4 linked regions of the Saccharomyces cerevisiae S288C genome follow. The gene in region 4 interacts genetically with the main gene of each other region. Each region holds a gene or a part of one and is shown on either strand. Other genes may lie near its edges. The genes, in order: ALY1, INP53, RME1 and YMR1.

Region 1 (8,872 bases), on a different chromosome or scaffold from region 4:
GTACTTCTCGCGCCTGCCATTCCGTTCCTTTTCTACTTTTTCCCACTTTCTCAAATTACGTTGTTGCTTCTTCAACGCAAGAGCTCTTTCTCTTGCGCTGCCCCATAAACCCACCTCCTGATTCATGTCAAAATCGCTGGCATTATCAATAATTTTTGTTCTTTCTGCCGAAGTGTCTTGGAAATATAAAAGTCTATCTAATCGTTCTTGTGCTGCTAACAACTCCGGGTTTTCCTCAGCTTTATGGTCATGCTCGCTCGCTTGTCTTTCCTTTGCTTCGCTCTCTTCTTTTTCCTCCTGCAATTTCAACACTTCATTACGCTTTCTTTCTCTTTCTCTTTTCCTTTCGATGAAATCAAATAATTTGTCCTGTTCAGCAAATAAATTTTTACCCATACCGGAAGTTATTTTGTAGGTTTTAGTCTTCTTCTTTGGGACATTAGCTCCATTTGACGCATTGGATAAGGACGATGATGAACCGTTTAGTTCGTTTTTTTCCTGATTTAAAATTTCTACCATTTGGGTTCTTTCGTTATCAGAAATCAACTGTTCATGGCAATGACCGCATTTACCTTTATTCAATCCCTCTATAACACAAACCACTTTACCACAGTGAAGACAGTTTGGCGCGATGTCGAAAACTGGATGCCTTGTACCTTGACAATTACAATTTTTAGAAGAACCGCTATCTCGAAGCTCTAGCATCTTGATTGCTTCGTCTATTTCTTGTAACGATTGTAATTTCCCCTTTGATCTGTGCTCTTTTTTCTCCTTTATGGGGTTTGATTGCGTAGATTGATTTGATGGTTGAACGGTAGGCCTCGTTGTCGAGCTTTTCTTCTCATCCTTTAATTTTTTTGGTTTTTCATCTCCCTTCTTATTGATATAGTTATTAGTGGGCTGTTTTGATTCATTTTTCCATGAAGTGGGGGCAGTATGTTCAAGATGCACATTTTTCGTTTTTTTTTCCTCTTTTTTATCATTCTGATTCAATAATTCATTGAACTTCATTACAAATTCAAACGATAGATCTTCATGACCTAGGAACTCCAAAAATTTTGAAGCAATTTGTTCTGGATCATCAGATGATGTACTCAGTACTTGTTCGCACAGCGCTTTTACATCAGACTCTTCCAAAGGCAATATTTGCGGAACTTGTTTGATTGCATAGTCAATAGCCTGCTTTCTTGTCATTATTAATTACTGCAAACCCAAGGTTAAATAATTAAGCCACTGTTTCTCGGACTACGTTCACTTTGCCATTATTTGCTGCTGCCAGGCTCTTTATGCCTCTTTCTTGCTGTATAATATTTCAATATTTGTCCGATACCCGGCAAGCGAAGATCATAAAGAATATCGAAATGAACCTCATAACTGAAAGCAATCATCATAAATTTGTGCTTTGAAGAAGCAATATAACTGGTCGAGTTACGTCAAGTTCTGCCTAGCAATGTTATAGCATTTGAACACATTATGGCGATCAAGAAAAGAAATAAAATTAGGTTACCAAGTGGTTCTCCTGAGGAGGTTGGAATTGATGGTTCTGCGCATAAGCCAATGCAGCAAATTAAGCCCCTAGTGTCGAACGATTCTGAAGATGATGACAACGACATTTGTGTATTACAACCAATAAAGTTTAAAAAAGTTCCTAAGCGCGACATTACCTTTGATGGCGAACAAGCAATAAAGGAGGATAATTCGCATTATGAAGATCTTTACCATTCAAAGAAAAATACCAATGCATCGACGCGAAACAAAGATGATTTGCTAATTCTCAATATGGAGGACTTGATGGAGGGGAATCATCATCTATTAAGTGATTCTTCAGAGGCTGGCAGTAGCTCCGAAGGTGAGCACATTAGTAGTATACCAACCCGAGGAGAAATTGCAAAACTGAAAGCACAGAAGTCATTATCTAGAAGGAAAATTAGTGAGAGTGATGTTACAACAGAAAGAGATTATGTAAAATTGTTGGACAGTGAGGATAAACGCGAAATTATGGAGACAATAAGATTAAATGGTGGTCTGAAACGTAACAATGAAAAGGAGATTACGAACTTCAGTGACGATGAAATGCAAGGCTTTCAAGACGAAATGCTAGCCCTCACGGATAATCAAATTGCTATTCAAAAGGATTCTAAAAGAAAGATTATAGAGAAGGCCATAAATGAAGTGCCCTACAGAACTAATGAAGAATGGGAAACCCAGCTTTTAAGCAAAGGAAATATAAACAAATCGAATGAGAAAATCATCACGCCCTTACCGGTACTTTTCCCAGACGATGATGAAAGTGGGAACAGCATTGAGAGAATAAACGAGATGGTTTCGAAGATCTGCTTGCAAAGGAAGAAGGTTGAGATGAGGTTGCAAGCGTTAGAAAAAACAAAAATTGACTTGGAAAAATCTAAAGCAAGCCTAATAAATAAGCTCATTGGTAACTGAACGTTAATCATGTTATTTTTTTAATCGCTGTACTATTAAAAAGGGATATCTTTACGACAAGTGATATGGATGTATAGATTGATGGTGTATATTTGTATACTATAAAATGTCCAATATATTGTACACTATTGAATCACAGGACACAAAGTAAAATGGTAGCAATTCTGTCGGAGAATGAAAATAATGTACTTATTTTCTCTTTTCGCGAAATGCTTTCTTAAAGTCGTCCAGTACACGGTTTTCACTAGCAACGTTAACCGAGTAGGCTGCTGGGTCAACATGGTTCTTGCTTACCTCCCAATCAAATTTGGAATCTGATGACATTCTTGGATCATAAAATGCTGTAATATCGACTGAAGAATCCACTGTATCTTCTGGATTATCAACTCTGTTATTACTATTGCTGTTTGATTGTATGACGTTATCATTAATTTTAAGTATTGGTAGTTTCTTATTGAAATTTAATGATTGGCTTTTGGGAAAGGCATCTTCGTCACTACTGCCTAGCATCTGGTTTATGTCATTGAAATGCTGATTGTTCTGTCTTATTGTACTAGGTAACACTGATGTTGCGTGTAGACTGGCACGATTTTTTTTTCTCCCATCAAGACTCATGTTTAAAGACTGCAAAATAGGAGTGTGTGAATTAACGTTCTCACTCGGAGCACTGGTTGACAGCTTGAAGTTGAAACCAGATGCTATATCGCCATCATTGTCATCTTCGTCGGATAAGTCATCAATTTGAGACCAACCATTGAATGAGTCCTCCTCAATGCTGGCCAATGTCTCTCTAGATTTGTTTAGTTTTAGTTCAGGAATTTTAGATGAACTTGTATCGTAGTATGGCAATTCAATCCCATCGGCCTTTAATACATCAAAATATGATGGAGGATCCACAGGAATAGCATGAGAATCGGCTGCGCCGCGCTTAGCTAGATCAAAATCAAAATCTGGAGGCGGGGAGTTTGATAATGGTTGGTAATTGAGAATTGGTGAGGTGATGGGCGATAATGGTAACGCCTGAGGAGAAGTTAATTCTCTTGGAATCTGATTGGGCTTATAAATGTTTGCGACCAGCTGTTTGGATGCGAAGACATTGCTACTTTGATCATTCTTCTTGGAGGTATTATCTGACTTGCTTTTCTTTACGCTTTCAGCTCTATTACGCACTACTGGAAGATCAGACGGTATTCTAATGTTCATCTTCTGCACGTTAGGTGAAAGAACGGGAGACGAAAGAACTTCTTTTGGGAAGAAAATATTGGAATCATGATGACTTGCGTAATTTTGTTGATCTGCTGCTGGTGCGAAATTACCATCTTCATCACAATACTGGAAATGACTCTCGTAGCTCGGTAGCAAAGTATTCGCGTGTGAGCATAGTTGATTTAAAATATGGATTGGAGAATCAATACTTATTTCGAAATGTTTTCTATTGTCCCCGTACTTCTTGGAAAGACGAAGGCAAATTTTTATCCAATGGTGGGCTTTGATTTTATCATAATTTGTATCAGGGTGTAACCGTATACTGTTTGTAAACTTGCTTGGGACAAACACCTCGAACTGAAAATCTTTGTTAACTAGATCGCCGGATTTTTCATCCAAGAGGATGTTCCCTCTATTTTTAGCCTTCAAAGGATTCGAACCAGCTGGTATATGAGGCAGTTTAGGACCGTTATGTTCAGCCAACAGAAACTTTTTAGTTGGCTCTAATCTACGAGCCTTCTCGTGATTTCCATTACTATTACAAGTGTATTCCATAGACTCTGTTAGATAAATTCTAATACGATGCAGAGTAACTTTATCTAGAGGAGCGAAATGGAAATCGATGGGTAAAAATGCATTCAAAACGATCTCTTTCGAGAAAATTACCACGTCATAATGAAGAAGATCTTTCCAGTCCTTGGAAATTGCAATAGCTTCAGTCTCTTCTACGGATCCATCAGAAGGAAGCCTTACGACTTTGATGGGTAATTGAGTATGTATAGTTGATTTGAATGCGCCAAACCTCTCTATGTCTATTGACAGTTTATACTCCACGGAACCAAAATTGGCTTTTATACTTTCTGGATAAGATTGCGATATTGGCTGTTCAAAAGTGTAAATATAATCGCCCGGTCGAAAAATAAAAACTTCTTTAGAATCTTTGGATGGTGTAAGATAGTTATCCTCTTGCTCAGGACTTGGAGTAGCGCCACTATTACTGAATGTTTTTGTAAACAAATCAGATATGAAGGTATGAGGTGACAAAGAGTTACCGTGAAAATTTGCCGGTACCGATCCTCTTCGACTAGATGATGGTAATGGTGTCTTTTGAATAGCCAACAGTTTACTGTCGTCATGGGAAACATCACTTGATACTGGCTTGTTACTCAAATTATCGGATGACAATGAGTTGCGCTCATAGGCATCCAGACTTAGATTGCTATTATCTTTAGGGGGTTCAGCGGTTGGTGGGATATATACTGAAGCACCGCTTTTTTCAAGTAGATAATCTTCATCGCTCATAGATGGGCGATTGGACGAATTATTTGAGCTGTGATGTTCTAAGGTGAAAGAATTCATGCCGTCATCCGCCTGATAAAATGGCCATGTGTGATTGACAACAGTTTCAACATCTGAAAATTCTTCTCTCTTCGGTGGTATACCTTCCGGCCACTCTGTTCTGGATATTCCTTTGAAGGTTATCGATATACTTTTTAATTTATTCGGTTTCAACACCCTGACGATAAGAGATCCTCGTAAGATACTGGGGGCTATTTCAGACAGTCCGTTAGTTTCAAATCCTTTTAAAAACACTATGGGTTCGGCAAGCTTTACAAAGACTTGTAGTGTTGTTGTCTGCACCAGTGGGACGGCATCAGGTGCTGCATTTATATCTTGCTCCATGGGAAACACTGGAGCTACAGTATCATTTTCTGTATTGAATTGGAGCATGTAGTCATAGAGGAACAAGCAATATTCTATGGGATTCCAGCGTATTTGTGCGGAATGGAACTTTCTGTTGGTTGTCTTTCTTGTTGCTTGTCTCTTATTTCAACGAGTTGTTCCCATTTTTGATAAGATGGGGATAGCGAAATAAGACAAAAGAGTCAATATTTGGCAATTCGCTCAAAGAGGTAAAAAGACGGCGCTATTATATATCTGCGTATATATACTACAAACAGCCGGGAATACATTTGGCAAAGTCCTCGTACGACAATAGGGCAATTGCTAGTAGTGTTAAGCAGTTTTTCAGGTGAACTTGCAAACCGAAAAAGAGGAAAAATTGGTTCACATAGTAAAATGCACTCTCTCGAAGGAAGTGTTCGGTGAAAGCCACGATATGCCGCTGGAAATTACAGTTCCTTGATTAAAGATTCTACTGTTTGCTTCAACTTGTTAATTTGGTCTTCATTGGCGTTTGTAATTTCTTTGAGAAGGTCGTTGACTTTTATTAGGTCATAATAGTTTTCGTAAATGGTATTCTTGATAGAATTGTTAGTCTCGGTTTCTTTGCCCAAGAGCTTATTGTGAATTTGTACTAGCCTCTTAAAGGGCAGGTTCTTTATCTCTTCTTCTGCATCTTCTGACCCCTCCTTGAGATCCTCTTCAGTTGCACTCAATTCGTCATCTTTCACTGGTTTCTCAGTGTTTGCTTCGGTATCTATATTCACATCTGTGACTTGCTCCTCCCCAGAATGAGCCTCGCTGGCTTTTTCCCCTATACGTGCTTCTTGACGACCTTTATTCGGTTCATTTTCCAAGTTGTAGAATTCTCTTAAGAGCAATCTTCTATCTTTGTTCAGACTGCTCACCCTCAGGGACTTTTTGTGACTAATTTGTTCTGCCATCTGTACTTAATATCCTCGTCAGATTCCGTCTCACCGCAAATACGCCTCTTCTATGCAGAGCCTCACCTATACGTACAACTTACTGCCTCTTGTTTCCACGCAGCGAAAATTCGATGATTTCTCGTATAAAGCATATCGAAGTTGAATCATCACAAAAAGGCCCATTGTGTAATGGACCCTTGCCACAACAACACTCTCGTTGCACAGGTAGAACATACTTTTAAGGCCTGGGTAGATTCATTTTTTTGACATAGGAAAAGATTAGCAGAGGAGTATGAGACTTTCGTTTGGTAAACAGCGTTATCATGGCGGTACAACAGTAACTTTGACTGAACAAGGAGCTTCAGATTCCCTTCGCGCTGCGCAAGCTATCTTCCAGAACCATTCCAATGAGGTCAGCAGTCCATGCCCTCCAGTAACGGTGAGCAGGAATCCTCAAACTAGGTTATCAGAGCCATCGCTACAAAAGTCAGGGCGGAAACAAGAACAAAAGAAGGCACGCATACGAACAAAACAGGTACCTAAGATTAAAACAACGGCGCCTAATGATGTTGAGTTGTCTAAGAAACACAGGTCAAGCCCTGCAGGTAAAGATAATGTTAGTAGTACTGCTCAAATGGCAGCTGCTTTAGCGCATTCACAATCGAAACTTAGTTCTGACAATAACTCCTCCCATTCTTCGGCATTGGATACACTAAAAGTTCTAGAAACTCCGAACTTGAATGGCTTGCTGGGCATTCATTCACGCTCAAGCTCAAGAAACGGCTCCAATGAATCACTGACGCCTGGCCAAAGAACTCCCGACAATAGATCTCAAGAGAATTTACTTACTTCCTTTAGTAGCGGTAGAAGGCTATCCTCGAGCTCTATGGAGCCTGCAACTAATAAAGACAGCAACAAAGCTCTGCCCAAACGCAGGCCGTCTCCTCCCTTGCAATCATCACTTGTCGGCAGTGGTCAGCTTCATGAAAATGAAAACCTATCATCAATTAGCATCGATTCCAGACATAGTCTCAATCCGGACACTTCAGACGTTATTTCTAATAGGTCACAAACAAGTCTATCTCAAACAATTAATCAACTCTCGTTATGTGAATCAGAGCCATCTATTGCAAGCTCAAACACTACTACTACAACGAGCAACCAGGGAAGTGGTTTGCCCAACTTGGTTCCGAACTATTCATCCGATATGAGGAAGAAGAAGCTTGTTAACAAGTTCAAAAGGAAAGTATTTGGTAGTAAGCCCAAGCACTTATCTTCACAATATGAAATGGATGCAAGCAGCGAAGAACTGGGACAACATGAACAACAACCGAGTATGAGATTTAAAACAACATTACGTAAAACCTCTGTAAGTACAAACGCAGAAAATGATCATGCATCCTCTCTACATGAGGGAAATCTGAGGTATAAGTACAATCCGTCCAACGACACGTATGATGTGTATGACGATACTGATTCTGATTCTGAATCTGATCAGAACCAGGACGCCTTGACCAAGCCACGCAAAAGAGATAGAATTAAGAGAAAGATCAGGAATTCTGCCAATAAAACTGCACATCATAGGCCTATCCACCGCACGAGAGATCGGAAATTCAATGAGGATAAACCCTGGAAATCACATACAGATATAACTTTCGTAACAGACAACGAAAGGAAGCGTTACGAAAGCATGTGGGTAAGCAACAGACACCGTCATTTGAACCTGTTGAGCTGGTGGCCCTCTATAACGGGTGATTCCGGAGCAATTAATACTTTACCCGAAGATGGATTGATATTGGGTATCATAGTCCGTGATATCTGGAAGCGGTCTAACTTGCCCAATAGTCTATTGGCAGAAATTTACACGAAGGTAGACACAAGAAAAGATGGTACTTTAGATAGGAAATCTTTTATTGTGGGTATGTGGCTGGTCGATCAGTGCCTGTATGGCAGAAAACTTCCCAATGTTGTCGAGCAATGCGTTTGGGATAGCGTAGATAGATATGCTTCCACCACGGTTGTGCCAGTGAGTACGCTAAAGGCGATGGCCAAACAAAAGAGAAAACAGATGAAAGAAGAAATCAAGAATATCAAGAAGGAAAACCGTGTAGTTCTTGTAGACCACAATAGCTCGTCGTGACGAGTGTGACTCGCACCACTTCGTAGGTAGACATATACAGAAGTATATATATATAATGCGTAATTCCCCCACTTGTTACTGTTAAGCTAATCGAATTGTCATCTCAGAAATCTTGTTCGAGATAAGGCCAATCTTACTAAAAAAATGTCTATTAGTCTTCTCTGTTATTATTATTCCCGGCTTTTTGCTTTCTTTCCTTTTTTCCAAGGAAGGGGGCAAATTCGATCAACTAAAAAAGAGGCATCGTTTATTCGGATGCCACCACTGAGACGATCCACAGGCTAATTGTGACTAGTGGATCACAGAACAACCAAAATGTTTAAAGTGTTTGGTTTTGGTGCGAAGGAAGAGATTCCTGAGCTTTCACAGGAAGAAAAAACTAAAGCCATTCTAAAACAAGCTCATGATTTCGAACAGGCACTGCGTGCGATGGACTATGTCTTAGATGATAATGCTGACGAGGGTTTGGCTTTGC
Region 2 (9,177 bases), on a different chromosome or scaffold from region 4:
AAGGACAAAAGGTAATGGGCCAACTCTTTGGCTTGCTGGACTCCGTGTTCTGCTAAAGGAACATCGCTATCAATTCCTGTAAGTGGGTCAGGATATGGACCCTCCGGAAGCCAGTTGGATCTGTATCCATGCCTTGCGATATATATCGTGTTCACCACCATAAAATGTATTGAAAAGGAGTAATATGTTATTGAGGTAGAAAAATGAAGGTAATTAGGGGAAAGCCTACTGAGGATTTATGGATAGTAGAGATTCTCTTCCACCTTGCCCATAAGTATTCACCAATATTTAACGTATATATATTAATGTGTCCTATTTTTCAGCTTTAAACCCGGCGCGCCTTATTAACGCACTCCTTTTCTCTCACTGAATATTTATATAAATATTTATCTAAATAAAATCACATAAAACAACCTGGCCAGGTTAGCCCCCTTGTTTCTCTTCGTTCATTTAAAGGGATACAAACGGAACAACAACCACACTTCAAAGATAACATATTCTCATTTTGGGGTCAATGGCTGCCATGAGTCTAAAGTCATATGGTTTAGTTTGGCCTTTTCCTCTGGCTCAATTGGATTTTCATCACCTAGCAAAGCTTCGGGCTGCCCATTGACGTCTCTTGATGCTGCAAATGCTGTAGGTGTCTGTTGTCTTGCATCTTGGGCTGAACGTGTAGATTCACTCGCGCTATTATATAAATCAACCTTAGAAGACATAGGCGAAGCCAAGTTACTGGTACTTTTTGGAGTTAATATATTTTGACTAAAACCTGGTGGTGGAATTCGTCTATTTTGCGCCAATGGTTTATTTTCCTGTATATTTTTAGTCACAGATGACAACGATGCAGTTGAGGTCTGTGGTGTTGGTGATTTTTCCTTCGATGTTGAAGGAGCAGGTGCTGATACAGATTTATGAGCAGGTGGGGGTGGGGGGCGCAATACCGGTTTCTTTATGGGGGTACGCGACTGGCTACTGTTTTGAGTTCTGACAGGTTGTAGTGAAGCCGATGCTGAAGACACAGGTGACGAAGAAGCAACGCTGGACGCTGTCGGTTGTGCCATTATCGGATCAATATCAAGTAGAGAACTTTCAGAAGAGCTTTTGAATCCATCAGTGCTCTTATTATCCAGATCAAGGCTGAGAAGATCCGATATCAGAGAACCCGGTTCTTCGGGATGCTCTTGTTTGTATTCTGTGAATAAACGTTTCTTGAGAGATAGTCTCTCTTTATCATCAACAAAAGTTATTTTTGCTCTATATGCTGCGTAAACTGGCCGATGGTCGCTAATCATTATCGGAGCATCTGAATAAGATAAAGGAAGTAAGTTTTCCCCTTTATAAATAATTCTATCTGTCCATGACGGCGTCCTTTCCTTTTCAGAAGAATCATAAGTTCCTGTCCCGGGATCATACTTGTATGTTGGACGGAACTTGAGAGTTGGTTCTTTGAAGCCTTCAAATACACTGCCAGAATTAATACCTAGGGTAAGTTGATCAAAATGCAACAGTTTATCGATATATCCTTCTTCTTGGTTGAGCAACTCTCTTCTGACGTCTTCGTTCGGTAGATTTATTCTATAATTCATGTCACCTAACCAGAAAATCGAATCGTGATGAGGAATCATCTTAGTTCTAGTGAAAGTAATACCTCTAACTATGCTCTCGTAATCACTTCGACGTTCTTCGACATTCGTAGCTCCTGCTGCGAGATGAGAATTGACAAAACAAAATGAAGTGGCACCGTACTCAAATCTTATAGACACTGCACCTTTATTCCCAGCCATACCCCTAAAGCCAGTTTTTTTAGTAGCACCCTCCACTTGTTTGACGTATTTAGCTTTGTCTGCTTTAACAAAAAATAAAATTAGTAAAGAAGTCATTTGCTCTACTCTTAACAACAGATATTTATCATCATACTGGTTTAAGCAATCACCCACTAAGTTTTCCCAGAAAGAGCTTTTCGAGTAATCAGCGTTCAAAATCGAACCCGCAGATAGTTCTATAACTTCTTGAAGACCTAAAACAACAATATCGGGTTTAAATTTTTCACCGATTGGAAATAACCACTTTGATAAATCAACTTTTTTGGTTGCGCCATTAACATTGAATGATCCTATTAACAAGTTAATGTTGGAGGTTGATGTGAACTTATCAGACATGCTTTGTAATTTCGTACTTACGTATTCGTTTACGGGATCATAAAGTTGCACTGCTTTCTGATACGGTAACCTTCCCAACAAAGTATCGATATTTTGTTGCTTTTCTTTATCCATGAAATTGTTAATATATATTCTGCTGACCGATTTTGTGGCGTCTGATAATGCCCCAGCAAGTGACATTTTACCTTTTCTTGAAAATGAGGACTTCAAAGCATTAGTACCAGTATATATTTGGGAAATTTGATCACCGTGATCAGCCCACAGGGTGTTATGTTTAGAAACGAAATCATCATCGTCGATGAACGAATTTGAACTAATCAATCGGAAATCTTCGAGAAAAGTTCTAAAAGCAGCCAAAGAAATAATTTGCTGAGCTAAATTTGTTCTATCCAAACAATCTAAACAGTTGGTCCTAAATATGCCATGTTGTTCAGATATGTTCTTTTTTTCTCTAACATCGTAAGAATAATAGCCAGAAGATAAAAGAGAGTCCAATATTAATGGAATGAGTTTTCTGACACCGGAAAAGCCTTCTTGCGAAGTTTCTTTATGAAAATCGAATTCTGTCAAAAATATATCTTTGTTGAAGTTCAATTTTTTTGAATGAGTTAAATGCTCCTTGTATCGTTTTGAAAGTTCAATTTCAGAAGATTTCGTTGATAACAAATTAACGACATGCACAGGTCCGTACTTTTCCACTGATTTCATGATATGTTTGTCAAATACCGGTTGGGTGGCTTCAAATGATCTTGTAATTTGTACTCTTGGATTGATTAAAGAGGTACCTTGCTCCCAGAATACAGGTATACTGCCTCTAATCTGTGTAAAAGCATAACAGTATTGGCTAGAATACATAATGAATTCCGTTTCTACGAAATTGGCAACGTTTGCCTCATCATCCACACCACGTGCATTAAATCTTGTTCCTGCTCTTTTCCAGCTCTGTTTCGAGATGATAGTAAGAGCAACTTTCAACTTCTTAACGTACGAGACGAAAGTTTCCGCAAATCCACGGATAACTGTTGTTAAAAACCCCTCGTCATCCAAGATTTGTTTCAAATTTGTGTCCAAATGATCTCTGTATGTGATCATTTCTTGCATGAGAAAAGAGTTCCACATATATTCTTCTTCGTAGGTATCTGTACTCAAAGAATGCTGACCATATCCACGATGCTGTAAGGTTGAGGTCAAATCAAAATCTGAACTATAATAAAAAGATCCATTGGATAATAGTTTCTTCAATTCATAGCATGGATGTTTTGGCAAGGCGTCTTGATATTCAGTTGAAGCAGTCTCCGGCAACACAGGATAACCTGAGGAGTCGATTTCAATAAAATCCCAACTGTTGTCATTTAAACAAAAAAAATCGACAGCAAAAATTTTGTTCACAGTCTCTCCTGGGCATGGCTGTGCAACTTTTGATTTCCCAGTGATGGCACCAACAAACAGCAGGCCATTAACCTCAATGAGTCCGATAACACCAAAAATTTCGTGTGATGTAAGTCTTTTGAAGCCATATTTTTTCAAATCATTTTTTTGAAGAAGTTCAATGGCACAAAGGGGTTTATCAGATGGCTTTTTCCCAACCGGTTTAAGAACAAGAGCATACAAGTTGGATACAATGGCTAGCCTCCTTTCAGGTTCTTCTGAAACAAAGATAATCATTCTATGAAGGAGTGGATAACTAGATATTCTTCGCCCCAGTTATTTTCTTTCTTCCTCTTAAGGTACTGCTAGCTTTCTTAATATGATATTGGATATTGACTGTTCTCCCTTCACAAAGTCTCAAATTACACTACTCCTAGCTCACTCAACAGTTGCAGTAGTGCTCGAAAAATCCCTATTCGGATTCAGTTAAGATTATGCGGTGGGTGGGCCTGGGTAAAATGTTTCACGAAAGGAAATGGTACCATGGGAAAAAAAGCAAAAAAAAATAATAAAACTATAAACGAAAGAAACTTTCCACACAGACATCGAAGAAGTGTTTGGAAACTTCGCTGAAAGATGTCTTTTTAACGTGAAATAAGTTACTTTTCTGTGCCATTTATAAATAAAAATACATATATATATAACATGAGTAATCATAAGCTACTCCTTTCTATTACTCTGCCAGTAGAACATCCCCGGAATGAATAATATTATTGACAGTAGCAAATACCGCCTTAATAGATGCATCCCCAGTGTCTTCGGAGACACCAACACCCCACATATTACTAGTAGCATGATTATTGATGTCCTTTATGTAGGAAAGATTTATGAAAGATGCCGCTTGGGTTGCAGAACCAGAACCCAAGGAATGTTCAGAGTAGTTTTGAACGCTCAACTTAACATTCAGTAAATTGGATAGCGCATCCACCAAAGAAGAGATAGGACCATTTCCGTAGCCTTCGATGTTGACAACCTTATCGTTGATTTCTACCTGGCCCACTAAAGCTCTACGCTCTGGGTTCAATTTCTTAACTTCGTAATTCAACAAGGTGACGTATATATGTTCATTGTTGTTGTAGTTGTAAGTTTCTTTGAACAATTTTGTAATCTCTTCGGATTTTAACTCTCTTCCTAAGGCATCTGCATTTTTCTGTAGAGTATTGGAGAAATCAACTTGCATTGGTCTTGGTACATCTAATCCTAGAGATCTCATAATAACCCAAGCAGCACCACCCTTACCGGATTGAGAGTTGACTCTGATGACGGCTTCGTAATCACGTCCAATATCCTTTGGATCCAATGGTAAGTATGGAATTCTCCACCGAGTTTCTCCTTGAGCCTGTTTCTTGTTTTGGATTGCAAATCCCTTCTTAATTGCATCCTGATGAGAACCAGAAAAGGCAGAAACAACCAATTCACCGCCATATGGGGCTCTTGGGGGAATTGGAATCTTGTTACAGCGATGGACAATTTCAGAAATTGAAGTTAAATCTGAGAAATCTAAATTAGGAGAAACACCTTGGGTATACATATTCATGGCAACTGTAACCAAATCAACATTACCTGTACGTTCACCATTACCAAATAGACAACCTTCTACACGATCAGCGCCTGCAAGCATACCTAATTCTGTGGCGGCGACACCGCAACCACGGTCATTGTGACAATGCGTAGAAATACAGACCTTCTCACGCTCAGTAATGTGGGTAGAGAAGTACTCAATTTGATCAGCGTAAACATTTGGAGAGGCAACTTCTACAGTAGCTGGTAAGTTGAAAATGATCGGATTTTCCTCGGTAGGTTCCCAAGCCTTTTTAACAGCTTCACAAATTTCTACAGCAAATTCACCTGGCGTATCACTGAAACATTCGGGAGAAAACTCATAGGACCAACGAGTAGCTTGCTGGGAAGGGTCATCCTTGGTTAGTTTCCTAACCAGTTTGGTGGCTTCTACAGCTTTAGAAATAGCTTCCTCTCTAGACATATTGAAGACAATTTCTCGGAACATGTCACTTGTGGCCAAGTAAGTATGTATGGTAGCCCTTTTAGCACCAGTCAATGCTTCCACGGTTCTTTTAATCAAGTGTTCTCTAGATTGGACAAGACATTGAATACCAACATCATCTGGAGCGTTTTCTACAGCATACCTGGTGAAGTCGAAATCTGTTTGAGATGCAGAGGGGAAAGACACTTCGATTTCTTTGAAACCGATGTTGATCAACTTGTGGAAATATTCTTTCTTTTGAGCCACAGACATTGGGTCCGGTAAAGATTGATTACCGTCCCTCAAGTCAGTAGACAGCCAACGTGGAGCCTTTTGAATAGTTTTGTCAGGCCAAATCCTCTTGACCATTTTTGGTGGAGCAAACGCCCTATATTTTACCGATGGGTCCCGTAGCATATTTTTATAAGTCAGTTTGACGGGTGGGATAGACCTTCTTAGTTTACTAGCATGCTCAGCTAGCGCTATGAACGAATGTTTTACCATGGCTACGCGGCTAAATGATAATGTGCCGATAGTATTATCCTAAGGAGAAGACCCTTATAAGCCGAAAACAAGGATTGTGATTTCGTGGAGTAAAGTAAGGCATTATTGAAATTTAACAGCTAACTTCCAATCAAGCCAGTAAGAGGCAAAACTATGTTGTAGTTGTGATTCTGGACATCGTTTTTAATTTTTTTTTTTTTTTTTTTTTTTTTTTTCATTTTTTGGCAAGGCCGAAAGAGATGGAAAAATATGAGTCATTCACTACGACCGTTACCGGACCATGATGGCGCGCGGCACCAAAATAGACGAATGAAGTATATAACAAGCGCCATGCAGAAGGAAGAGCTAACATTAATTACTATACAGATAAATGTTTAGTGTTTGAATATGACAACATATAAAAGAAGACTGTGCCCAATGCTCTTATTTTAAATGCCTGTGAAATAATTATATGCAGTGTCATGTACGTAAAATTAAATAAAAACTAAAGTTACAAACAATATGAGCGTGATGAAATGAAGTAAATTGTGTGAAATGAATTAATATGAAACGAGGGAACTAGCCAGAAAAGCGGATTTTCTATCGTTGTTCTACTTAATCAAAGTTCTAATCTTGATTAACTGATATCATGCAAATTTAGCTTTTTAAAGCCGTTTTCAACGCTTTTTTCATTTTTACCGATCGCTTTATTGGGTAATGGCGATGAGGATGAAGATATTTGTGTCTCCACAGATGATGAAGAGGCTATCTTTGTTGATGACTGTTTTGTCCTTTCAAACGGTTTTGAACATTGCTGTTATAATGGCTACAAATGACGCCTGAAGGCTGTTTGAAAGATTTCCGTTTTTTAACAAAGTTAAGTTTTTGCAATAAACCTTTCCCCGAGTTGAGAATTCCTGTATTTTGCGGTTTTTGCAGATTTCTAGTGCTGGTATTCTTGTAGGTCGAGCTGGTAGTGTTGAGTGAGGAAGAGGACTCGCTTGGCCGAGAAGTGCGATCGCTGCATTGCGACTCATTGGTCGTGTTTGCAGACGTTTCTTGAATGATAGTTGACAAACCATTGATATCAGGCTTCTTAAGATACGAATTTCTATCTTCAGAAATATCCTCCACGCCTAATGACGAAAAAGAAGTTGTAGACTCGTTTTTGAGATCTTGTTCCGTAGCAGAGTCATTGTGGGCATATGTGGCGGAGTACTTTTTCTCATTAACAGAACTCACAAATCGGTGATACCCGTCCATTAATAGGCCCATCACATGGCTAATGGCACACAGGACGTCTACGTCGGCAGGTACTTCATTGTTAGCAAAGCACTTCTCAAATATCTCCCTAGTATCCTGTGAAAAGTTGCATTCTTTGGGGGAGTCCACGGCAATGTATTTTATGTACAACGACTTGTTCCAAACTTCCAAGAGCTTCTCCTCGCTAATACTCCTGTTTTGCTTAAGCTGGAGGAACTGATGAGCTTTTTCGAAAAATTCTAAATTTTCCTCACAATGAGCTCTTTTTAGAAATTTGTAAAACTTTTGTATTGTGTAAGGAGAACGCATCCGTTCGTGATGCCCTTTTCGCAGTTGAATCAGCACTGTATTGCTACTTTCAGCATCGCCGTCGCTGCGACTATTCTTTTCTAGCGGTATCAGTATGTCGCATAGACTTGGTACACTCGCCATCTGGCATGTGCTGAATTTTCTTCGTTTTATGTATCAAAGGTGCCTTACCTAAGATGTTTTGATATTTATATAGCCAATGTAATATTTTTTTTTTCTTCTCTTTCCTTGCCTCGTCGCTTGAGTTGTTTGCTTTTAGTGATCACCGTTGACTTTGTAAAAATCCGTTTAGTCAATTTTGGCAACTGGTTCAAGCAATGTGCAACGGAAATGGTATAGATGTGATGTGGTATAATATGTTATTAATTTGATTACTAGCGCCTTAACTATCTTTATTCAGCAAGTTTTTTTTTCATCTCCACAAAGGGACGTTTACAAAGGGTATCCCGAAAGAGATACTACATGACGACGTCATATATACGTATATCTCAAGAAAAGAATTGTTAATGATTATGTTTTTTTTTTCTTCTTTCAATTTCCTTTTTCTGATTGTGCTAAAATGAGCGCCGAGCCGCTTCGATCGGGGTACCTGCGCACTTTTCTAGCGGTTCGGTTCGGCAGTTCTTCCCGAAGCATTTAACGCAACCTTGTTCCTCATTCTCCAGCAGGTCTGTGCTTGGTGCGCGACTTTAGCTGCAACGGCGTGGGTGTGCCGCAGCGGACATTTCTTAGTTAGATGTCATCTCGGCTGGACCGGGACGCCACAGTAAGATTTCAAACTGCTGAAAATTTTCGCCAGCAGAATAGCCGCTACTATCAGGCCGTAGCGACAGGATCGTGCCCGCAATAACGTACACATCGAGGTAATTATGCATGATTTCTTTTTTTGCCGAGAAATTCTGCCATTTTTATTAATCCACGCTCTGTCCTTATCTTAGTGACAGGCAAGGATGTTCTGCAAAAGCGAAAATTGAAATAAGATAAATACTTCCGAGCCAGACACGTTCTTATGTTTATCAGGGCCCACAAGGTTCATTTAGAAGACAACGCATACAATGTTTTGTTTCTTGATAACGGTTGGCGGCCGTTAAGCAACAGTAAGGCAAATGACAGTTAACGGAAAATAACAGGGTTCTTACTTTTTACATACAGTAGCACAATCCTTTTTTTATTGGCAGTCGCTAGTAGAAATTCGTGGGGATTTACGGACTACTGAAAAAAGGTCAGTGTAGATCGTACAAAGTAGAAAAAGGAAAAAGGGCATATCGAGCCCTTGCATTTAAACTACGGAGTACAAAAAACACAGGTTGCGCACATGGGAAGTGCACTATCACTAGACATCAAAGGAAATTTTGAGTCAAAAAGAGCGGCTAAGAAACCCCCCTACCACAAAAGAATAAATGCAAAAAATAACTTATACACTCTTATACACTCTTGTTTTCGTAAATAGATAAGATTGGGTCTACCAGAAAGTCTGTGCTCAATGCGCGTTTAAGGAGATTACTAACTTAATACAGCAAGCAATACCACCATGCACACAACTATTATAAT
Region 3 (3,745 bases), on a different chromosome or scaffold from region 4:
GCGCTAATATCCTACTTAAGTGGTTGAATTCTTGTATGATTAAAAAAAAAAAAAAAAACACCTGTCTTATTTTCAATTTTATGGTACTGACTTTGAGGGTACGTGAATCATCGAAGGAAACATAATTGCACTGATATGTAAACTTCCTAGTTTCAAATGTTTTCTCGGAATACCAAATAACCTCTAGCCATAAGTTTATTTTCAAACTTTTTCCTCTTAGGTGATAAGGGAGATTAGAAAAAAAGAAATATTTATTATTGAAATAACTGTCCAAAGAAGCAAAGTGAATATAGAAGAAAAAATGCGAGTACTTACGATTTTTTATTTAGCTAAGTAACCAACGTGGTGCCATATTCACGACATAGCAAGTGTCCATAGTTGCATGCGTTTTCTTTAATATCATTGTGTTTTATTTTTATTACTTTAAGAAAAAATACAGTAGCTTTCATGCCTGCACAAATTTAACAAGAGTTTCATGGGGTACATTTTTAATGCCTCAACTATTTGGTATTGTTCAAAATTTTCTTCAAACGCTTGTTAAATCTTGAATCAGCGTTGTTATGCACCATGGCCACATGTCTCTTATAGGCGTCTTTGCGCCTAAACGTTTTCTGACAGATAGGAAATGGGCAATTCAGTCCTGGATATTTTTCTACTTTTAGATTTAATGATTTCTCCATCTCTATATCAAGCTCTCCTATATGTTGGGAAGCACAATGTCTTCTCAGACCAGTTGCTTGTTGGAAACCCAATATTTTCCAGGGACATTGCTCTATGGGACACTTACACGGTCTTTCAAGGTTGAATTCGTCTAAGTGCGCGGCAAACTCAACTAACGTTGCGAACTTTTCAGAACAATGAGAACAGTGGTAACTTCCTCTTTTTGTTTGCCCTTCGGAAATTGTGCTGAGTACTTTGGGGTCGTGATATAGCTGTGCCACGTGCGATTTTTGGGGATAGCCTAGAATACACTGTGAATGGGATTGTTCTGTTGTATTGCTCTCAATAAATACAGGATTTGCTCCTTTTTGACGTCCATAATTAATAAGATCTCTGAACTCCGGATCAACTAATGACGTGATACAGTGTGTACTGTCCGCTATTTCATCCGGCCGTAATTGAGGTGCTGTACCTTCCTCAGTAGACGACGTAGAGTCATAAGCCTGTCTCTGATTTCCGGCTATAACTGTGATTGTGTTTTCTAATGATAGTAGTAAACAGTCCTCAGTGCTGGAAGGCAGGCTGGAAGGCAGGCTGGAATCCCCCTCTAAGGGTGATGCCGAATATTCTTTCATGTTTTGCCCGAAATCGTGCCAATGATAAATCGGTTGCACCTCTTGTAAAACCTCTCTGTTCCAAGACCCCTTGGCGATGGCACTGTTTTGTCCATAACACGGTGACATAAGTGCTGAAAATCCCAACTTCTAGTAAAGAATTAACAAATTCAACTGTATGACTTATAGGATAAGAACAATGTCAGTTCCAATGCGTTGACACAGTAGAAAATATATTTACTAAGAAGCAGCTTCGTCGTTGGTATAGTTTCGGTTGATCTAGATATAAATATAACTACAAATAAATGGCAGGAAAAATTGAAGCAAATGACACAGGACATATCTATCACATTGCTCCCTTTAATTTCCTCGAAGGCACTCTGGCCTTTGTTCTCTGCATAAGAAAAAGCCAGCAGAAAATACGGTGATATATTTAATACATGCCCGGCCACTTTTCTGCTGGTAAAGCCCACCGGAAAAGTTCGGATTTTCTTATCCAGTATACGCCGACCTTTTGATGTAATCTGTGACATCTCACTCCGGCGGCCATTTTACGTGACGAAGCATCCCTTACAACAGAAAGAAGAAAAAAGATATGCCGCTTTGCGGTTTCTTTCTGGCAATGTATGCACTCATAATGCTACTCGTTTACCCACTATCCCTGTCCAAACTAAAGAGGGAGGAAAGCACTTTTTGCATTTACACATCGTAGATTATAAAATGATCGTTAACAGGCGCTTGTGATTTTGAATTTAAGAAATGTGGACTAGAGAAGTCTTAAATCGCCAATGCTGTACCAGACTCTCTATAGCATCTAAACACGAAATTCAACTGTTATCTTAGTTTTTCACTTACCAGTAGCGCGCTTGTTATTCCCACGTTATTATTTGCCCCCACATCATAGGTCAAGTGACCTTCTCTTACCCGACATGAATAAAGAAAAGAAAAGAAATCATACCCTTCAGCCTGTTTAGCCATAAATAGTAAAGAGTAGATGTTTCGACGGACTAAATAATGTGAAAAAGGTTCTAAAACCTTCAAAACAATTAAACTTGAGAAACGTTGCTATAGGATTGAGCTAATAATTTGAATTAATAGGAGCTGCTTTTTACTTTGATATATCCTGAAGTTATGTTACGAGTTTCTGAAAATGGTCTACGGTTTCTGCTGAAATGCCATTCAACGAACGTAAGCATGTTTAATAGGCTTCTGAGTACTCAAATAAAGGAGGGGAGAAGTTCCATAGATGATGCTGGCATTATCCCCGATGGAACTATTAACGAAAGGCCGAATCACTACATCGAGGGAATTACTAAAGGCAGTGATCTGGACCTCTTGGAAAAAGGTATAAGAAAAACTGACGAAATGACTTCCAATTTTACAAATTATATGTACAAGTTTCACAGATTGCCCCCCAACTATGGAAGTAACCAGCTCATTACTATCGATAAGGAACTTCAAAAGGAACTGGATGGGGTAATGTCATCCTTCAAAGCTCCGTGCCGGTTTGTATTTGGTTACGGCTCAGGAGTTTTCGAACAAGCGGGATATTCCAAAAGTCATAGCAAACCTCAAATCGATATAATCTTGGGCGTCACATATCCATCACATTTTCACTCTATTAATATGAGGCAGAATCCGCAACATTATTCAAGTTTGAAATACTTCGGTTCCGAGTTCGTGTCTAAATTTCAACAGATCGGCGCAGGCGTATATTTTAATCCATTTGCAAATATAAATGGACACGACGTAAAATATGGGGTGGTTTCTATGGAAACACTTTTAAAGGACATAGCTACTTGGAATACATTCTATTTAGCAGGACGACTACAAAAGCCTGTAAAAATATTGAAGAATGATTTGAGAGTGCAATATTGGAACCAATTAAACTTAAAAGCTGCAGCTACTTTGGCCAAACATTACACCTTAGAGAAAAATAACAATAAGTTTGACGAATTCCAATTTTACAAGGAGATCACTGCCTTAAGTTATGCAGGTGATATTAGATACAAACTGGGTGGAGAAAATCCCGACAAAGTTAACAACATTGTTACCAAAAACTTTGAAAGATTTCAAGAGTATTACAAGCCGATTTACAAAGAAGTGGTCCTAAATGATTCATTTTATCTTCCAAAAGGGTTCACATTAAAGAATACTCAGAGACTTTTGCTCAGCCGTATTAGTAAATCAAGTGCATTACAAACTATTAAAGGTGTTTTCACAGCTGGAATCACAAAGTCAATTAAGTATGCTTGGGCCAAAAAACTAAAATCGATGAGGAGAAGCTAGTGTATCCAATGTTATCTACACATTATCTTTTATCAAAAATGTTTTATCGTCCTTTCATCTCTTTCGAAGAATCGCTCTATTCACATTCCAAATCTCTGGCGTCGGTCAATATTTATTCATCTTTATTTTTACCTTCTTCTAGATAATATACATTATCCCATATTGGCATTCAAACTGACTTA
Region 4 (8,183 bases):
AAAAAATGCAGATCCTAAAGAGCCTAAAAAAATGTGTGACTAATAATTACTCAACGAAGCATAACCATATATGCTTATACTTGTGTACTGACTTACACATACATATATACAAGTGCCACACTGCAGGCTCCACTTGCCAAACTTCCTTTACTTTATCATAAAAAATACATATATATTTTGCAAGTATTTCAAGAATGAACCAGATACTAAATGCACAAAGGCTGATACAATTATCACAATTTCACCCTAAACTGAAGAATATATGGTACCTTGTTGCGGCCGCCACGTTCAGTGTTTGTAATGAGCCACAGGAAATACCTAAATTATACCACTATGCCATGCTACTGAGTAATGATAATGCACACATGTATAGATTCACATTAGCTTCCCAAACCATTGACTTACTGCGCTCAGAATTACCAATGAGAAAAACTTTGATCAATGAGAATTACCAACAACCTACTTTTTTCCAAAAGCAATTGACAGCAAAATTTAGAGAAGTTATTCTTAAAACAGGACCTCTGGCCGGCCTTCCAAGAGCGATCAATGGCCTGACTATGCTAAAGGAAACTACTCCGGACATTTTAGTACCGCACTTAGACCCAATAGACCCGTGGGAGGCTGCCATGGGAAACAGTTCTCCCCTTTCGGAAACCTCTATGAGAAGGAAGCATGACAAGACAATCCAGGAAAGAGATCATACCATACAGAACGGCTTACGGCATTGGAATTCAATATACAACAAAGTCTCAACCCGCGTGGTAAACAATCTAAACTCTTCGTACCCAGACTTATGGTATTATACACTGGTCCATGTATATGGCCCTTTGTTTGCCTTTGATGAGATACTATCTGCGCAAGAGACAAGTTTAGTGATAATTGCTTCTTTGGTTCCACAAGATGTTAATCCTCAATTGCGTGGGCATTTGAAAGGTGCCTTGAATATTGGTTGTGATAAGGAAACTGTGGAGGCAGTGAGAGGATTGGCTATACTAATATCTCAGTGGTGTGGTGTTAGTTGGAAATCTGGTGTTGTAAAATTGTAAGCCCCTTTGCCGATCGGCCACTCGTTATGCTCATAATATATGTACCCTTATTCATTAAAATTAATATATATATATGTATACTAACAACGGAGAAATGCTTGAACTTTTCTATACTTCTATCATTGTATGCAAAATACTAACTCACTTATTTGTCTTCTTTGCCGTTAACCAGATCACTTTCTATTAAACATATCAAATCCAAAAATTGACAAATTTAAACCCTTACCGCCATCGGAATTACTATGCTCTTTACTCTTTTTATCCACCGATATGGGTACTGAGTCTCGTTTATGGCGTAATTCATCATTCATTTCTGAATCTTTTCTTCCATATAACTGCCACCACCATTGGACTTTCTTCAGATCCGGCGAAATCCACTCCACTTTTTCTTCCTCTTCAAGGTTTTGATCGTGCTCATTCATGCCGCTTCTTTTTCTCTGTATGAAATTTGGATTTATGAACTGCTTTCTTCTAGATCTGAAGTAGTCCCAGACACTTTTAGTCTTGTTTGGCAAATTCTGTTGAAATTTCTCCTTCTCGCTATTGGAAAGGAATGTTCCATATTGGCATGAATACAAGTGGTAAACTAGTCTTCTTAAAAATCTTTCGTTGAATTCAAATAGATCTGGGTTTTGCGTCAAAAGTTGGTATACACAGTCTAAAAATTGTTGGAAAACTGGGGAGACGAACTTTAGACTTTTCTTGTTCAATTTAAAGTTTTCGTTAAATTTTTTGGAAATTCTACTCAAATTAATTAAATTCGTCTCATCTTCACCTCCTTCATCATCTTCAGCATAATCGTCTTGAGTGTTAACACCTATGTCAAGATCATCGCCATTGGTATCCACATCGTTGAAGTTGGAATGCATAGTGTTATCATGAAATCTAATATCAGAGTTTAAATGACCACTTCTTTCCAAAAACCGGTGACCAAAAGAGCACCAATCTTTTTCCACTAGGATCATAAAACCTTCAAAAGTTCTATAGAAAGGATCCAAACAAATTTCTAATAGTGATACAACTTGACTGGTTCTGTCCCAACCGTCAGAACAATGAACCAAAACGTTGGAATGATTGAAAATGATGGACTTTAAAAGCATATCAACGGATTTTAAAATAAGAGTGTTCAACTTCAACCAATTGGAAAATTTTTGACTCCTAATTAAATTCTGTTCCAGTGGTAAATTCAAATCGCCACCTTGGCAGATAACTTCCGTCATGTATGCAGCTGTGTTGGAAACAATATGAATGTTATCTATACCAAGAAATAACCGTGTAACTGTGGGCAGTTTTAGACTTTTATCGACACCCATATTGTTATCAGCTAAAAAAAAATTATAATTATCCATATTTTCTGTCCCGCCACCCAACGCCATCTGTGCTAATGCATTTGTTCTGGGTCTGGCATCTACTATTACATGTTTCGTTCTTCTAATATCTTTATTACAAAATGAGTTGAAGCTTTCCCAAACTAATTTTTCATCTTGAATGGACCTCTGATTGATCAACCCCGGTAATGGTTGAGATGACCTAAGAATGTTGCAATCTGTTGCCTTGTGATGATAAGTTAAAACAGGAATTCTTTTCTGTGATCTAAACTTCGAAGCATGCTTCAATAATATATCTGACGTGGATCTTGGTACAAAAAGTTTTGAGGGATACGTTGGACAAAATTCATAGTGTTCGTTTACCGTGGATAGCCTCCAAGGACATGTTTCATCTTTACTGTCGAGGCCCTGCCTTCGAAATTCCTTAATTGGGTCATATATATCCCAGCTATCGGGTGAAGGTAGTTTCCTTTCCAGATTGTTGGATATGTAAATAAATGCATATAGTTGCGTGATATTGGACAGGACCGTCAAATTTAAGATGGAATCATACACCTTTCTTGCCTGTAGATGTAAATCACCACCGAAATCCAATGAGAATACCGCATAATCTTTCCCAATTACCTTGATATTTACAAAAGACCATAGATCCTTACCCTGGTAAAGCTTGTAATTCTGTGAATCCGTTCCCTCCAATTGGATTTGATTAGTGGAAGTCAACTTGGACAGTAATGTACTACCCGGGTTTTTATGCACTCCATAGATCAAAGGATATGGAAACCAAAATTCCGTCGACAATTGTGGTGACTCAAAGATCAAATGGTGAGTAGTCAAATGTAAAGTACCTTGTGTGGCCGTACCTCTTCTATGCAGCACTACATTAGATACTTTGGCAATCTTGATGTACTCCATCTTTGCGGAATGGTATACTATTTCTTTTCCCTCTTTTTAGCACTATTACACCCCGCCCACAAAATAAAAATAATAACGACGACCTAATCTCACCAAGTGACCCTTGTAAAACCTCCTTTTCTTTATAATGTTTCTTTTCTTACTAATATTTGGTACATTTAGGGTAGTGATAAAAGAATGGCAACATTGTTATTATTGTGAAAAATGAGGAAAATAGAAAATCAGAAACCCTAAAAAGTGATTTTACCCTATCAGAAATATTCAAATGTCCTAATTAAAAATAGTAAATCCCCTAAACATTCAGATTGTAAACTAGGGTTGAGAAAATGACTCATCCACCACTGTCTTCTTTCCTGCGGCATTCTATAGATTATTGTGAATGACTCTTATTGATGAGATGGCAATAACTTTTGAATATCAGAGATAGGAACCTCCATGTCGTAACGATTGTGTCACCTTGAGTAAGCATCGAGAAAATCCAATCTTTTTTTTTCCGTCATAAGCATTTCTGCCATGCTATTTGTATATATATAATTACTAATACGTCTTCTATAGTATGCCTTATCTCTTTTTTGAAGCGCTATTTAAGTTTAAGCATCGAAAAACTAACATCTATAGTTAAAATTAGTTCTATAAAGGAAGAGCAATACAGTACATAGACAGGAAGAAAAGAATGACATCGATTTATACATCAACAGAGCCTACGAATTCTGCTTTTACTACCGAGGACTACAAACCTCAATTAGTTGAAGGAGTAAATTCTGTACTTGTCATTGGATCAGGAGGGCTCTCTATTGGTCAAGCTGGTGAATTCGATTACAGTGGTTCTCAAGCTATCAAAGCTCTGAAGGAAGATAACAAGTTTACTATATTGGTTAACCCAAATATCGCTACTAACCAGACTTCTCATTCCCTGGCGGACAAGATTTATTACTTGCCCGTTACACCAGAATACATCACATATATCATTGAACTTGAAAGGCCGGATGCTATACTTTTAACCTTCGGTGGTCAAACAGGTCTAAATTGTGGGGTGGCTCTGGATGAATCTGGTGTTTTGGCTAAATACAACGTCAAAGTTTTAGGTACTCCTATCAAAACTTTGATCACTTCTGAAGATAGGGATCTTTTCGCATCTGCGTTAAAGGATATCAACATTCCCATCGCAGAATCATTTGCTTGTGAAACCGTGGATGAAGCTTTGGAGGCTGCTGAAAGGGTCAAATACCCAGTTATTGTCAGATCTGCATACGCTTTGGGTGGGTTAGGCTCAGGTTTCGCTAACAATGCAAGTGAAATGAAGGAACTTGCCGCACAGTCCTTGTCGTTGGCCCCACAAATTCTTGTTGAAAAATCTTTGAAAGGTTGGAAAGAAGTTGAATATGAAGTGGTCAGAGATAGGGTTGGTAACTGTATTACAGTATGTAATATGGAAAATTTCGACCCACTTGGTGTTCATACTGGTGATTCTATGGTTTTTGCTCCTTCGCAGACCCTATCAGATGAAGAGTTTCATATGTTAAGATCCGCCGCAATTAAAATCATTAGACACCTTGGTGTTATTGGTGAATGTAATGTCCAATACGCTTTGCAACCTGATGGGCTAGACTATAGAGTTATTGAAGTGAACGCACGTTTATCTCGTTCCTCTGCATTGGCGTCTAAGGCCACTGGTTATCCCTTAGCATACACTGCCGCCAAAATTGGGCTAGGCTATACTTTGCCAGAATTGCCAAACCCAATCACAAAAACTACAGTGGCTAACTTTGAGCCATCTTTGGATTATATTGTGGCAAAAATACCTAAGTGGGATCTTTCTAAGTTCCAATACGTGGACAGATCCATTGGTTCCTCTATGAAATCAGTTGGAGAAGTTATGGCTATTGGTAGAAACTATGAAGAAGCCTTTCAAAAAGCATTAAGACAGGTGGATCCATCATTATTGGGATTCCAAGGTTCTACTGAATTCGGCGATCAACTTGATGAAGCCTTGAGAACTCCAACTGATAGAAGAGTCCTTGCCATTGGTCAGGCCTTAATCCATGAAAACTATACTGTTGAGAGAGTTAATGAATTGAGTAAAATTGATAAATGGTTTCTTTACAAGTGCATGAACATTGTTAATATCTATAAAGAGCTTGAATCAGTTAAATCTTTAAGTGACTTGAGTAAAGATCTCTTGCAGAGAGCCAAGAAATTAGGGTTTTCAGATAAGCAGATTGCGGTTACTATAAATAAACACGCCTCCACAAACATTAACGAACTGGAAATCAGAAGTTTAAGAAAAACGTTAGGTATAATCCCTTTTGTCAAGAGAATCGATACTTTGGCCGCAGAATTTCCAGCACAAACCAATTATTTGTATACCACTTACAATGCTACAAAGAACGATGTGGAGTTCAACGAAAATGGTATGCTGGTTTTAGGCTCTGGTGTCTATCGTATTGGTTCATCTGTAGAATTTGATTGGTGTGCCGTGAACACCGCGAAGACATTAAGAGATCAAGGCAAGAAAACTATCATGATAAATTATAACCCAGAAACAGTTTCCACAGATTTCGATGAAGTTGATAGATTATACTTTGAAGAATTATCGTATGAAAGAGTGATGGACATTTATGAGTTGGAGCAATCTGAGGGTTGCATTATTTCTGTCGGTGGTCAATTACCTCAAAACATTGCCTTGAAACTTTACGATAACGGCTGTAATATAATGGGTACCAATCCAAACGATATTGATAGAGCTGAGAACAGACACAAATTCTCATCTATTTTGGATTCTATTGATGTTGACCAACCTGAATGGAGTGAATTAACATCAGTAGAAGAAGCAAAATTATTTGCTTCTAAAGTTAACTACCCTGTGTTGATTCGTCCCTCATATGTTCTTTCCGGTGCGGCAATGAGTGTTGTTAATAATGAGGAGGAACTGAAGGCTAAATTAACTTTGGCATCTGACGTTTCTCCAGACCACCCAGTCGTCATGTCTAAATTTATTGAAGGTGCTCAAGAAATTGATGTGGACGCCGTTGCTTATAATGGTAATGTCTTGGTACATGCCATTTCCGAGCATGTTGAAAATGCGGGTGTGCACTCCGGTGATGCTTCTTTAGTCTTACCGCCACAACATCTTTCTGACGATGTGAAGATTGCCCTAAAAGACATTGCTGATAAGGTCGCAAAAGCTTGGAAGATCACTGGCCCCTTCAATATGCAAATCATCAAGGATGGGGAGCATACATTGAAAGTGATTGAATGTAACATTAGAGCTTCTAGATCATTTCCATTCGTTTCAAAAGTTTTAGGCGTTAATTTTATTGAAATTGCTGTCAAGGCATTTTTGGGCGGTGACATTGTACCAAAACCTGTTGATTTGATGCTCAACAAAAAGTACGACTATGTTGCTACTAAAGTTCCTCAATTTTCCTTTACAAGGTTGGCTGGTGCAGATCCTTTCTTAGGGGTTGAAATGGCATCAACTGGTGAAGTTGCTTCATTTGGTAGAGATTTAATTGAAAGCTATTGGACTGCTATTCAAAGTACCATGAACTTCCATGTACCACTACCTCCAAGTGGTATATTATTTGGAGGTGATACATCTCGAGAATACTTGGGCCAAGTGGCTTCCATAGTGGCCACTATTGGTTACAGAATATACACAACTAATGAGACCACTAAAACGTATCTACAGGAACACATCAAAGAAAAGAACGCAAAGGTTTCTTTGATTAAATTTCCAAAGAATGATAAGAGAAAATTGCGTGAACTATTTCAAGAATATGACATAAAAGCTGTTTTCAATTTAGCCTCCAAGAGAGCTGAGAGCACTGACGATGTTGACTATATTATGAGAAGGAATGCTATTGATTTTGCTATCCCATTGTTCAATGAACCTCAAACGGCTTTGTTATTTGCAAAGTGTTTGAAGGCAAAAATTGCAGAAAAGATCAAAATTTTGGAATCTCATGACGTTATAGTTCCACCAGAAGTCCGTTCCTGGGATGAATTTATTGGTTTCAAAGCATATTGATTGTGCAAAAGAAAAACCTGCCTCTAATTGTATTACTGTATATTATATAATGGATTTTTTTAGAGATATTTTTAATTTCAAAGAGACTTCTTAGTGTATATTCTACCCCAGTATTATTATCTTGAACAAAAGTAGATCGCAAAACTTATCACTAAAATTCAAATGTATTTTCGAAGTGAGTAACGCATGGGCCGTGGAAAATAATTCATCAATCAATACCTCAGGCAAGTGTATTTACTATGCCTTTATATCTTCCGTATAATAATAGAGCGTTGATTAATTGAGATGTGCAACAATGTGACCAGTACACGTAGATTATAGCATTTTTCACCGATCAAGCTTAAGCTTAATGAATATGCAGTAGGGGGCCTTCATAAAAAAAGCTGTCCTTCTGGTTGTTGGCCATTACTTGGACTTCTTTCTTTCTGAAATGTTCTGCTAGGTGGAGCAACATGGGTAGATGATGTATAGAGAACGTTTACGCTACGGAGAGAATCCGCACTAAAATTCGTAGTGACAGATGCTATATACGCGCTTGCTAAGGGATAACCCATCAAGCCGGTCTGCTACGTTAGTGGCATGAGGCATATCATCTTCGTCTTCATCAATAGAGTTTGAGTTAATCCAAGCGGTTGCATTCTCGAGTGTTGTTAATAATCTAGTGTCAACCAATTTCTCTGTAGTAGCTTCTATGACAGAGATATTAAGTGTGTAATCACTTGTGCCCCAACATGTTGAGTAGTGGATATACGTATTGGATTCGGTAGAATTTAGCCATGCAGCGCTCAAAAAATTCCACGTGAGGAATATTTCCCAAGGGATGAAAATTTTAAAGCTTCCATCTACGGTCAAGATAGAGTACCTCCA

Evidence for each region.
Region 1: of YMR1 (region 4) and ALY1, changing one suppresses a phenotype caused by changing the other (phenotypic suppression), as found in Saccharomyces cerevisiae (one study listed by BioGRID).
Region 2: mutations in YMR1 (region 4) and INP53 together harm fitness more than expected from each alone (negative genetic interaction), as found in Saccharomyces cerevisiae (4 studies listed by BioGRID, with this or other methods).
Region 3: of YMR1 (region 4) and RME1, extra expression of one rescues a mutant of the other (dosage rescue), as found in Saccharomyces cerevisiae (one study listed by BioGRID).

The regions. Positions count from the first base shown.
Region 1 is NC_001143.9:475,741-484,612, reverse strand, and holds ALY1 (Aly1p), read right to left. Parts: upstream 5,380-8,872; coding exon 2,632-5,379; downstream 1-2,631. Other genes in the region: RQT4 (Rqt4p), read right to left, coding at 1-1,194; NTR2 (Ntr2p), read left to right, coding at 1,474-2,442; VPS51 (Vps51p), read right to left, coding at 5,781-6,275; IRS4 (Irs4p), read left to right, coding at 6,550-8,397; YKR018C (uncharacterized protein), read left to right, coding at 8,713-8,872.
Region 2 is NC_001147.6:519,925-529,101, reverse strand, and holds INP53 (phosphatidylinositol-3-/phosphoinositide 5-phosphatase INP53), read right to left. Parts: upstream 3,825-9,177; coding exon 501-3,824; downstream 1-500. Other genes in the region: transcription factor TFIIIC subunit TFC7, read right to left, coding at 1-161; 2-isopropylmalate synthase LEU9, read right to left, coding at 4,261-6,075; GTPase-activating protein RGS2, read right to left, coding at 6,820-7,749; SNAP receptor VAM3, read right to left, coding at 9,130-9,177. UniProt on the Saccharomyces cerevisiae protein: Dephosphorylates a number of phosphatidylinositols (PIs) like phosphatidylinositol 4,5-bisphosphate (PtdIns(4,5)P2), but also phosphatidylinositol 3-phosphate (PtdIns(3)P), phosphatidylinositol 4-phosphate (PtdIns(4)P), and phosphatidylinositol 3,5-bisphosphate (PtdIns(3,5)P2).
Region 3 is NC_001139.9:582,490-586,234, forward strand, and holds RME1 (Rme1p), read right to left. Parts: upstream 1,404-3,745; coding exon 501-1,403; downstream 1-500. Other genes in the region: YGR045C (uncharacterized protein), read right to left, coding at 1,445-1,807; TAM41 (putative phosphatidate cytidylyltransferase), read left to right, coding at 2,406-3,563. UniProt on the Saccharomyces cerevisiae protein: Involved in the control of meiosis. Represses the transcription of the IME1 gene thereby inhibiting cells from entering meiosis. But also activates the CLN2 gene thus promoting mitosis.
Region 4 is NC_001142.9:628,718-636,900, reverse strand, and holds YMR1 (phosphatidylinositol-3-phosphatase YMR1), read right to left. Parts: upstream 3,287-8,183; coding exon 1,220-3,286; downstream 1-1,219. Other genes in the region: PXP2 (Pxp2p), read left to right, coding at 195-1,046; carbamoyl-phosphate synthase (glutamine-hydrolyzing) CPA2, read left to right, coding at 3,960-7,316; ABM1 (Abm1p), read right to left, coding at 7,818-8,183. UniProt on the Saccharomyces cerevisiae protein: Lipid phosphatase which dephosphorylates phosphatidylinositol 3-monophosphate (PI3P). Involved in the control of PI3P-dependent signaling and in the maintenance of endosomal system integrity.